Linked DNA regions of Daphnia pulex. The protein of the gene in region 1 interacts with the protein of each later gene in a biochemical or structural test. Links are inferred from orthologs where the notes say so. Each region holds a gene or a part of one and is shown on either strand. Other genes may lie near its edges.

Region 1 (4,427 bases):
TTGTTTGTAGTAAATTATTCCCATACCGTACCTTTTCACAAACAAAAAGTTAGAACAAATCAATTAATGCTGCTTTGTTAAAGAAGGTTTACCATCCGTTATAATGAATAGGATCAACTCTCACAGCATTTTTAAAGCAATCCATGGCTTTCTCCGTTTCTTCGAGGGCAAGATACTGATGACCCAAAAGAGTGTATGCATAAGCAAATTTAGGATCAACTTGGATTGCTCGTTGGAAAAACTTTAGAGCTTGTTCGCGATCTTTCTGCAAATCCAAGCAATTTCCGGCACAACACCAAGTCGCAGCTGACATTTTGTCTTGTTCCAGCATGTCTTGTGCTAATGCCGAGAGTGACACTTCTTGCTGCAGATGCCAGAGAGCAGTACTATAATACTCCATCAGATCAGTGCGATATGGCTCCATTTCACGCACTTCTTGAAACAACCTTAATAATTAAAAAATATCTGTCAATTTCCTGTCAAACTGTTACACAAGATAAAAGTAAAACTAACCTAGTAGCTTGCTTGTAGTCTGCCAGTTCAAAGTAAGCTTTAGCCATAAGAGAGAGGACCCAGCTTGATCTTTTGTGGCGTGCGGAGAGCCATTCTATTGTGTCAATCGCTTGACGAGACTCATATGAAGTCAGGTGTGAAAATGCTTTGCCTACAATCCGAAGAAGAGACATAAGTCCTTCAGCTGACTGCTTTTGCATTTGGACTGCCTCTTGAATCAAATTTGATGGTGGAGTCTGCACCGAAGTTAAATGAGTAGGTAGGGTAGCTTGTTTCTCATCCTCTCTATCCATTTTTCCTACTAGCTCTGGAAAATCGCTAATAGGTGCTAATCCGCTTTCCGGGGTATCACCTTTAGTAAGTTTGGATTTGCTACGCTTCAGTGGCAACTTGGGCACAACAAAACGAGAGCTACTTTTGTTATTCTCCTTAACGGAATTGTTCGAACTGTGATCAAAATAGAATACGTTAATTAATAATATACGAATTTATATATACACAAATGTTACTGAAACCTGTAAAGTCGTGTACTTCTCCTCACGTTAGCGGCTGGGGGTGAAGACAATGTCGGTGTAGCTGTATTTCCGGATTGGCAGAAAACTCCCATACGTGAAGGCGCGCTTGGAGCAGTGCTAGCTGCTTCACGACGACCACCCAACTAAAAACAGCATAAGCATTTGGAGAGATTATGAAACACTCTATATTATTTGTTTAAAAGGAAAAAAATCATACCCGTTTAGGCATTATCTTTGCTTCTTTTGTTTCAGAGACCGGTGGGGCTAGCGAGGGACACAAATAGACCATCGAACTTTGAGAAGCATCGCTTGCTGAAGACATATCCAAAGGTATGATGCCAAAACTAAATTACGTAAATTAAATAAAGTGTCATCAAGTGAATGGAAACTTAAATTATACTTGGGGGACATGGGAGACAGCGCTTGACCGGCTTTAAAGACTGATCGAAGCCGGAACGACCGTGCTCTGGAACGTGTTGGAGCCATGGTACTCGTCAACGGTATAGAGGGAATCATTTGATCATCTGGTGTCAAATTAGGTATATTGTGATGAATAAGAGGCACACATGGTAGGGGAGTGCTAGAAATATAGTAAAATACACAAGTTGTGTAAAGAAATGGTGATTAAATCTCAAAATAATTTGTGTTTTAAATAATATGCCATGTTTACCTTGTGTTTACTATAACATCAGCTGCAGGGACTTGAAGTATAGGAGTGGAGATTTGGTCAACAGACATTGGTTCATGAGGATGTACTTTAGTGGTTGCATCATGTGATTGATTGATCTGAGCAGTGATCAATGAAGCTATTGGGTTTGTTCCATGACAATGAGAGAAATTATCCAATCCCTCTAACTGAAAGACATCTTCTGCATCTGGTTTTTCACCAAGCCGACAAAGAAGCTCAAAAGCAGCCCACAGGAATGGATTAAGCTTAAGAGCTCTGTTGAGTACTTCTATAGCTTTGAACTTTCGTTCTGTCTGCATGTAAACTTGACCCAACAAAACTAGGGCAAAAGCAGCAGCATCTCCAAATTCAGTCACAACATCATCCAAAGATTTTTGTTTGAAAATATTTCCACCCATCAATGTTCCTTCTGCTTCAGCAAGCCTAAAAAAAAACACATTCTTTAGATTTTAATTATTTTCAATGAGAATAACCACATACTTATTCAGATCTAAACAACATTTGGCTAACAGATATTGACATTGTGGCGACTGAGTTCCTTTTGATTGCAGTAAACTTCTTGCTTGATTCGCTTTTCCTGACCGATAGTAGCAAGTGGCCAGAAGATACAAGCTTTCCTCATTATTAACTGAAAGAAACATAAGATTTATGGAAAAATAACCTTTACAAATTAAGTATACACATAATACTTTCATCCTGAAGTTTCTCAGCAAGAAAAGTAGCATTCCAATAGTTGTAGTGATTAAGACAATGCCAGATAGCCGCCTGCATTTTAGAAAAATTTAACCATTATTGAAAATGAACCAAAAACTGGCATACAAAGAAACCCCCTTCATTGTACACCCTAAATATATGCAATTTTTAGATCACTAAACATCATTGATTAACATGTTACTAACCTGGACAGGTTCTTGTACCAACATGTTGACTAGTAATGAGTTAACATATGAAATCTATGAAGATATACAATCAAGTTTGAATTCCCATGGACGGAAATCAATTTAAGTCAAAATAATTCCACCAAATTGCCGTCGGAGCTTACGTTTTAATGTAACACAAAGTTTTTTTTGCCCCTTCCTCTTTTTAACCAAACCGTTTCGAGTATCGCTGTATCGCCTTCACTAAGTATCGATCAATCTACGATATTCGATGAATTGATTCAAATCGTGATGCTTCAGTTTTGACATTTTTTGACATTTCAACGGTCAGTTTTATCAATCTTATTATTAAACCGCACTTGGACAATTTGCTTTCGAAATTGTCAACAAGTTATTTATTCAGGTAAATTTAAGTGTTGCAATGTATTAACTACTGTCATTTGGCCTAGATTGTTCGAAATAACGTGGTTGTAATTGTAATTATGGTACTGGAATAGGTAAATCAGACGTTTTTTTAATAACAATTAATAAAAAAGGCGCGTAATTCTAAAATATGAATTTTTAGTTAAGTGTTTTTTAGTTCTTCTAATAGTCCTTTTTTCAATTAATCTACTTCAAATAAACAAATATTTTTCAAATTTAATTCTTTTTAGTTGTAAACCTTTTGTTTAGCAATATTAAAGCTGTGTTCTTAATACAGGGCATAAGCATGATTGAAGCATCAGAAGACTCAAGTATTAGTGATCAAGCAGATCCTCAAGAACAACAAAAGATCACATCAGTTAGTGTTGAACACACAAATGAGCAATGTAACATGTCTGAAACCCACAATGCAACATTAGATCCTGAAATGGAAGGAGAGGTAATTAATTAATAATACTTTGTGCTATTAAAATTCCAATGAATAACAATTTTATGACAAAAATTACAGGATAACATGGATGGCAATGAAGATGAAGAACTGAATGAGAAAAAGTCCAAAACTGCTGGTGGATTTACTGGTAGAGGAGTCACATTGCAAATGTTACTTGAAGATAACATCCTTCAACCAAAAGAAGGTGCTATGTCACTAGAGTACATGGTAAACATTATACGATATTTCTTTTAGATTTCTTATCTTCCAAGTTTAAAACTTCTATTCCCTATGTGAATTTATTTAGGGACAAAAATTTAATGGGGACTTACTGGCAGATGGAAAAATTTTTTCTGCTGAAGTTCAAGAAGTCTTTAGTTCACCCTCGGCGTGGGCCTTGCGCTGCAAAAAAATTGTTAATCCCGAACAGAAATATGGTTGTGGTTGGTCATCAGTAAGCATAAAATATGTTTAAATTCTCGTTATCAAGTTCAGTAAATTTAGTTCAGATTTTTAAATGATGTAGGTACGATATTGTGGCAGGCCTTTGGATGTATATAAAAACCAATGGATGCGTAAACGACGTTTAGAACAGGTTAGCGACAACTCGACTCCTGATGATTGTAATTTGTCCACTAATGAGCCTGTACTGCTGGAACCTGAACCAGTAATTCAAATGAGTATGAAACAAACTGTCGGTGATCGACAAATTATAAAGCACGAAACGCTAGGAAACAGGACAAGTATCGAGTAAGTAGACAAAACAATTATTTTAAGTTTGGAGTTTGTTTCTAGTTTCTATTTCTTATTGTCGTTTCGTTACCAGGGATCCAAATTTGTTAGTTGAAGCCATATCGTTCGCAAATATAGGGAAACTTCAACCTTTTCTAATATCGTTAAACACGACTGCTCTTGTTGTAATGGACGTTCATTGCTCTCTAACGCGTTCAGAAGTTGTTGGATATTTAGCAGGCCAATGG
Region 2 (4,478 bases), on another chromosome or scaffold:
AGTAAGTTTCATAAAAGCTACAGTTCAATTTCGTTTTGATATGCAATTTTATTAACAATTATAGGCAAACGCTTACAACGTGGAAATTCAACTTCAAGATGCTTTAACTCTCGATGGAGTGGAACTAAAACTCCTATCTCGAGAGAGGCATCACGAACACATGGACGATTTCATCTGATGAACTGTCAGCAAGATGTTTGGTCCTAATAGTCCATCAGGGAGAGACGGCCATATCCACGTCGCTGATATCCTTTTGATTTCCTCCATCTTTTGATATATCTGCGATAAAAATGCCATTCCATTAACATACCTTGTTAATAATAAACAATTTGAAAGTTAACCAGGTTTTCACTTTTACGTACCGTGCGATAAGTCTGAAACATCCTCAATGTCCTGATCCTCGTCTTCGACGTCTTCTTCCTCTTCAACTTCCATGTCAAATATGCGAACCTTCCTTTTTGACGAAGAAAAGATAGCGGCAACCTTTCGACTGGACGATAGACCGAGGGTAGTAGCCTGAAAGTCGTTTAAGACACGAAACGAGCTTGCTTCAATAAAGGTATTGACATCCACTGATCGAAGATTGCCTTGGCTGAGAACTGATGAAACGAAAACGTCTGAATGGAAGGACGAGTTAAAAGGTCCTCGCCGTGACACAACGGGAGCCAAATGTTCGCGTAACAGACATAGACTGAGTTGTACGAAGATGCTATTCGTGCTGCGTTCGATCGAAAGCAAAACTGACATAATCTCGTTGTTATAGAACTGCAGATCAGCTATTTTATATTCGCCAGGAGGTAGATGGTCGCACTTGCCAAAGGAGAAGAATGCTGCTCGAGTCAAGTTCTTACGTTCCTTCTCGGAGGCGAATTCAAACAGGTAAAATCCTGAAGAATGAGTGGTCGAATTTGTCAAGCCAAGAAGATTACACCGATCTTTTGGTTGGTTGATGGATCGTGTTGTGATTCTGATCTTGTCCAGACTGTCCGAAGGACAATCTAACGTCAGGTCGGTGATAAACGGCAACGACGCAGTCTGTCCAACAGCTGAAGGGATAGCTTCGAAACTGGCTTTGACCTGATGTTCCAAATGGGCGAACTCTTGAGCAAGAGAGCGTTCAGCACGGGGTTGAAATAAGTCCGAGTCCTGAAGATTCGCAATAGATGGACAAGCTTCTATCAACATGTCCCAGGGTCTAGTTTTAGAGCTGGCAACAAAAGTCAACGGCTCATTCCTCAAATATTGCCCAATACGATCCAGACGTACTTGTCCATCGGTCTCAAAATCTTTGGCGAGGAAGTTGGCGATAAACCGTACATCTTGCTGGGTACTGGTGGCAAGCTCGGGTGGGATAGGCTCGTCCGAGAGGCGCAAGATGGTAACGTAAAGCCAGCGGAAGAATGTCTTGAGGTACTTGACAGAACCATCGATCACCTGTTGAAGCTCAGCGGTTTTGGCGGTAAAAGAGCCGGCCGCCCGGTATGCAGCTAAACACGAATTGACTTGGAGGCCGAGGCATGAGAAACGATCTTCTTGTTTGGCCAGCCCGCAAAGTTGTGTCAAATAGTGCGACAGTTGGTAGTTGGCACACACGATGTGTTTGATGAGCAGTTTCTGCATGTTGCTATAGGATAACTCTACGGCTTGGCCGATTCGTTTCAATCCTTTGTCAGTCAAATCGGTAACAAGAAATTTCTCCAGCTTGATCCCGGCGTGGCCAAACATCAGGAGCTCCATCAAGTCGACAGATAAGCTACTCTTGCCGTCGTTGCTTTCATAGCGAACCATTTTCGATTCGAGGTCGACTAGTGCATCCTCCCAGGCTTCTTGTAGAGCTTTCTGAGCACTGATTAGGCAGTCCATGAGGCCAGTTATCTGCCGATAGAGAAATCCTAGACCGTACAACTCTTTCAAACAATGAGTTATGAGTGGGGTTTCCACAGTCATGAGTAAAACTTCTGAGGATCCGGCACGAACATCGGCTAGTAAACACAGTTGGCTGTGATCACCATTCGGGAAAACACTTCGTACAGGTCCGATTGAATCGCTCCCACCACTCATTTCTGAAAGTTTTAGAAGGCAGCAAGGAAAGAGTCCAAAGGCGAATCCGTAAACTAACCCATTCTTTAGTCCAATCCACAAAATGCTCAGTAATTCTTCATGTTTCAATCCTTTGTCGCCATCAAGTGCTGACCCAGCATCTAGCTTTGAAGAGTTAACTTTCAATGGTTGAGGCAGCAGTTCTGGCAGCAAAAAATTGTCTGCCTCTTCTTTCACACTTGTGCTGCAGTTTTCCCAGGAAAGAGCTGTGATGGGTTCCTCACATGGGTTGAATGTGTGTACTACTTCTCCAGATTCAACGTCAACTAGAACCACATGCCCAGAACTGTATCCTACAGCTAGTATCACACTGTCTGGTCTCCAAACGATCGCTGTGACTTTGACACCATCACCTCTTTTAGAAAGCTTCCAAACTTTGCTCCATGACAACCTTCTCAGAAAAACCTCACCTACAAGAAAATAACATACAAAACAAATTTTATTATCATAGTAACACAATGGGAAAAAGAAGGATTGCAAGTTTTCACCAGAGCTGTTTGAGACGGCAATCAGATCTCGTCTGGAAGACCACAAAAGGATTTCTGTTGACGCAGTTCCAAGAATGTGTTTTTCGTCACTCTGTCTCATCATACACGACACCATTTTAAGCTGATTGTGTTTTTACACGACAATCTCGATTAGACAGAAATTAAGGAACATGTATTTACAACTTTTCGAACTTTTTTTCGGTTTCTTCTCTAGGCAACTTGAGTACATCTAGCGGTCGATTTTTAAACTGCCTGGAAACATTCAGATTTGAATTCTACCTTTTTATTACGTGTTACCTTCAAGTGTTCAACGTTATTCGCTTTTTATTTCAGTCACCACTGGAGGCCAATTGTATCGCATGGCTCTTGACGTCCATGGCTGTAGTTCGTTAACTGAATAAATAGCCACACAGTGTGATAGAATGTCTCCCCAAATTTATTTTTTTAAGGCATTTGCCGCCGCATCTTTTCAACAAGCATAAGCTCGTCTATCCGTAAATGGATGCGAAATTGAATTCGGGTTTCTGGCAAATAGGATAATCTCTTGGCCAAACAGAAACCCAGTTGATAACCTCACCACGTAAAAAATGAGCGCTATTCTTAGGCATCGAGGATTAAGCGAAGCATCGCTCCCGTGCGTTCGCGGGTGCTAAAGAAATCGATCGGAAAATAACGAACTCCCTTTGCGACACGATTATTTACCTTCATGAGAGTTTGCTCTGTTTTCTGCTTGTCTTGTCGCCGGTCGTTGATAATAATAAAACGTCATGCTGCTATATACAGTAGCAGTTGCCTAATATTTTACCGCACTTAGCCTTAGGAAAACGTGTGGGCGTTGACGGGGTCTCCCATTTCGTGCAATGTGCAGAAGCTCTCACGCGCGGGGGGAACACTTCTGCTCCTTCGGAGTGGCACAACATTGATTCATTATTTATTCGTTATCAGCGAATTTGTGCTTTTACGTCTAGACGATTGTGTTTTCGTAGCAACTTGTAAACGAAATAAAAAAAAACACGTAGTCAGATGGGAGAAAGAAAAAGTCGATATCCAAATAAGAAAAATCATCTTCTCTAAATGTATATTGTACCAGTACCTAGCCTATATAGTGCTCCTGAAGAGGATGAGGAGCAACAAGAACTTCGATTTCCACACAACTACTTTCTTTTGCTTGCTGACGTTCTCCTGTTCACACAGTTCAATGATTGTGGATTATGCGTATCAGTGCTCGTTATTCGTTGGACTCTAGAGACTGGAAAAAAAGGCACGATTATGGAGTTGGATCTTATTTGTATTCAATGCAGCAGTCTAGCGGGACCACCAACGTTCTGGTCGGTTTGAGGTGACTCCGGGGGGACACTGCGAACGGCGGGGTAATGCATAGCAACCACCGTCGATATAGACTCGAAATAATAGGAGAAAGGAGAGTTCATCCGTGCCTAGCCAACAAGCAAGCTTCATCCTATATTCAACAGAGATTGAATATTATTCCAACATTCTTTTTTTTAGGCGATTCGGATTTGTTGTCTTTACTAGTTCCTATTTTTAGTCTGGCAGTGATTTTTCCGTTATTTGACATGACCGTTTGTATACATGACTGTCGGGCCGAGATTAGATCATTGGTTTCGCTTTGACCGAATGTGAGACGCTTGAATCGCGCGTTTCTTGATGCAGGCCGACACTCATCAATTCAACGGCAATCGCGTAATTCTCCTTTCCATTCACCAGATAAGCAAACAGCACAGACTATTCAACACAAGGACAAACAGAAGAGAAAACGTGGAAAGGAAAGCGTAGGCGGAATAATATCAATTTTCTATCCCCTTTTCTTTTCCGCATTTTCATTTTTGATGTGCCTTTGCCTGTTTTTAAAAGAAAAATCAATGTTTAAAA

The links.
Region 2: the proteins of cell division cycle protein 27 homolog (region 1) and anaphase-promoting complex subunit 4-like form a complex in vitro, tested with the Homo sapiens proteins (2 studies listed by BioGRID). The link is inferred for Daphnia pulex from reciprocal best matches to the Homo sapiens genes CDC27 and ANAPC4.

What each region holds. Positions count from the first base shown.
Region 1 is NC_060018.1:4,689,405-4,693,831, forward strand, and holds the start of cell division cycle protein 27 homolog, read right to left. Parts: upstream 2,839-4,427; 5' UTR 2,640-2,838; coding exon 2,616-2,639; intron 2,482-2,615; coding exon 2,406-2,481; intron 2,345-2,405; coding exon 2,197-2,344; intron 2,140-2,196; coding exon 1,699-2,139; intron 1,609-1,698; coding exon 1,429-1,608; intron 1,373-1,428; coding exon 1,246-1,372; intron 1,172-1,245; coding exon 1,029-1,171; intron 961-1,028; coding exon 514-960; intron 447-513; coding exon 93-446; intron 32-92; coding exon 1-31. Other genes in the region: MPN domain-containing protein-like, read left to right, coding at 3,304-3,456, 3,526-3,675, 3,755-3,901, 3,974-4,197, 4,274-4,427. UniProt on the Homo sapiens protein: Component of the anaphase promoting complex/cyclosome (APC/C), a cell cycle-regulated E3 ubiquitin ligase that controls progression through mitosis and the G1 phase of the cell cycle.
Region 2 is NC_060021.1:8,253,774-8,258,251, reverse strand, and holds anaphase-promoting complex subunit 4-like, read right to left. Parts: upstream 2,957-4,478; 5' UTR 2,704-2,956; coding exon 2,589-2,703; intron 2,511-2,588; coding exon 363-2,510; intron 341-362; exon of another isoform or gene 280-340; coding exon 215-279; 3' UTR 179-214; coding exon of another isoform or gene 65-178; 3' UTR 29-64; downstream 1-28. Other genes in the region: condensin-2 complex subunit H2-like, read left to right, coding at 1-1, 65-178. UniProt on the Homo sapiens protein: Component of the anaphase promoting complex/cyclosome (APC/C), a cell cycle-regulated E3 ubiquitin ligase that controls progression through mitosis and the G1 phase of the cell cycle.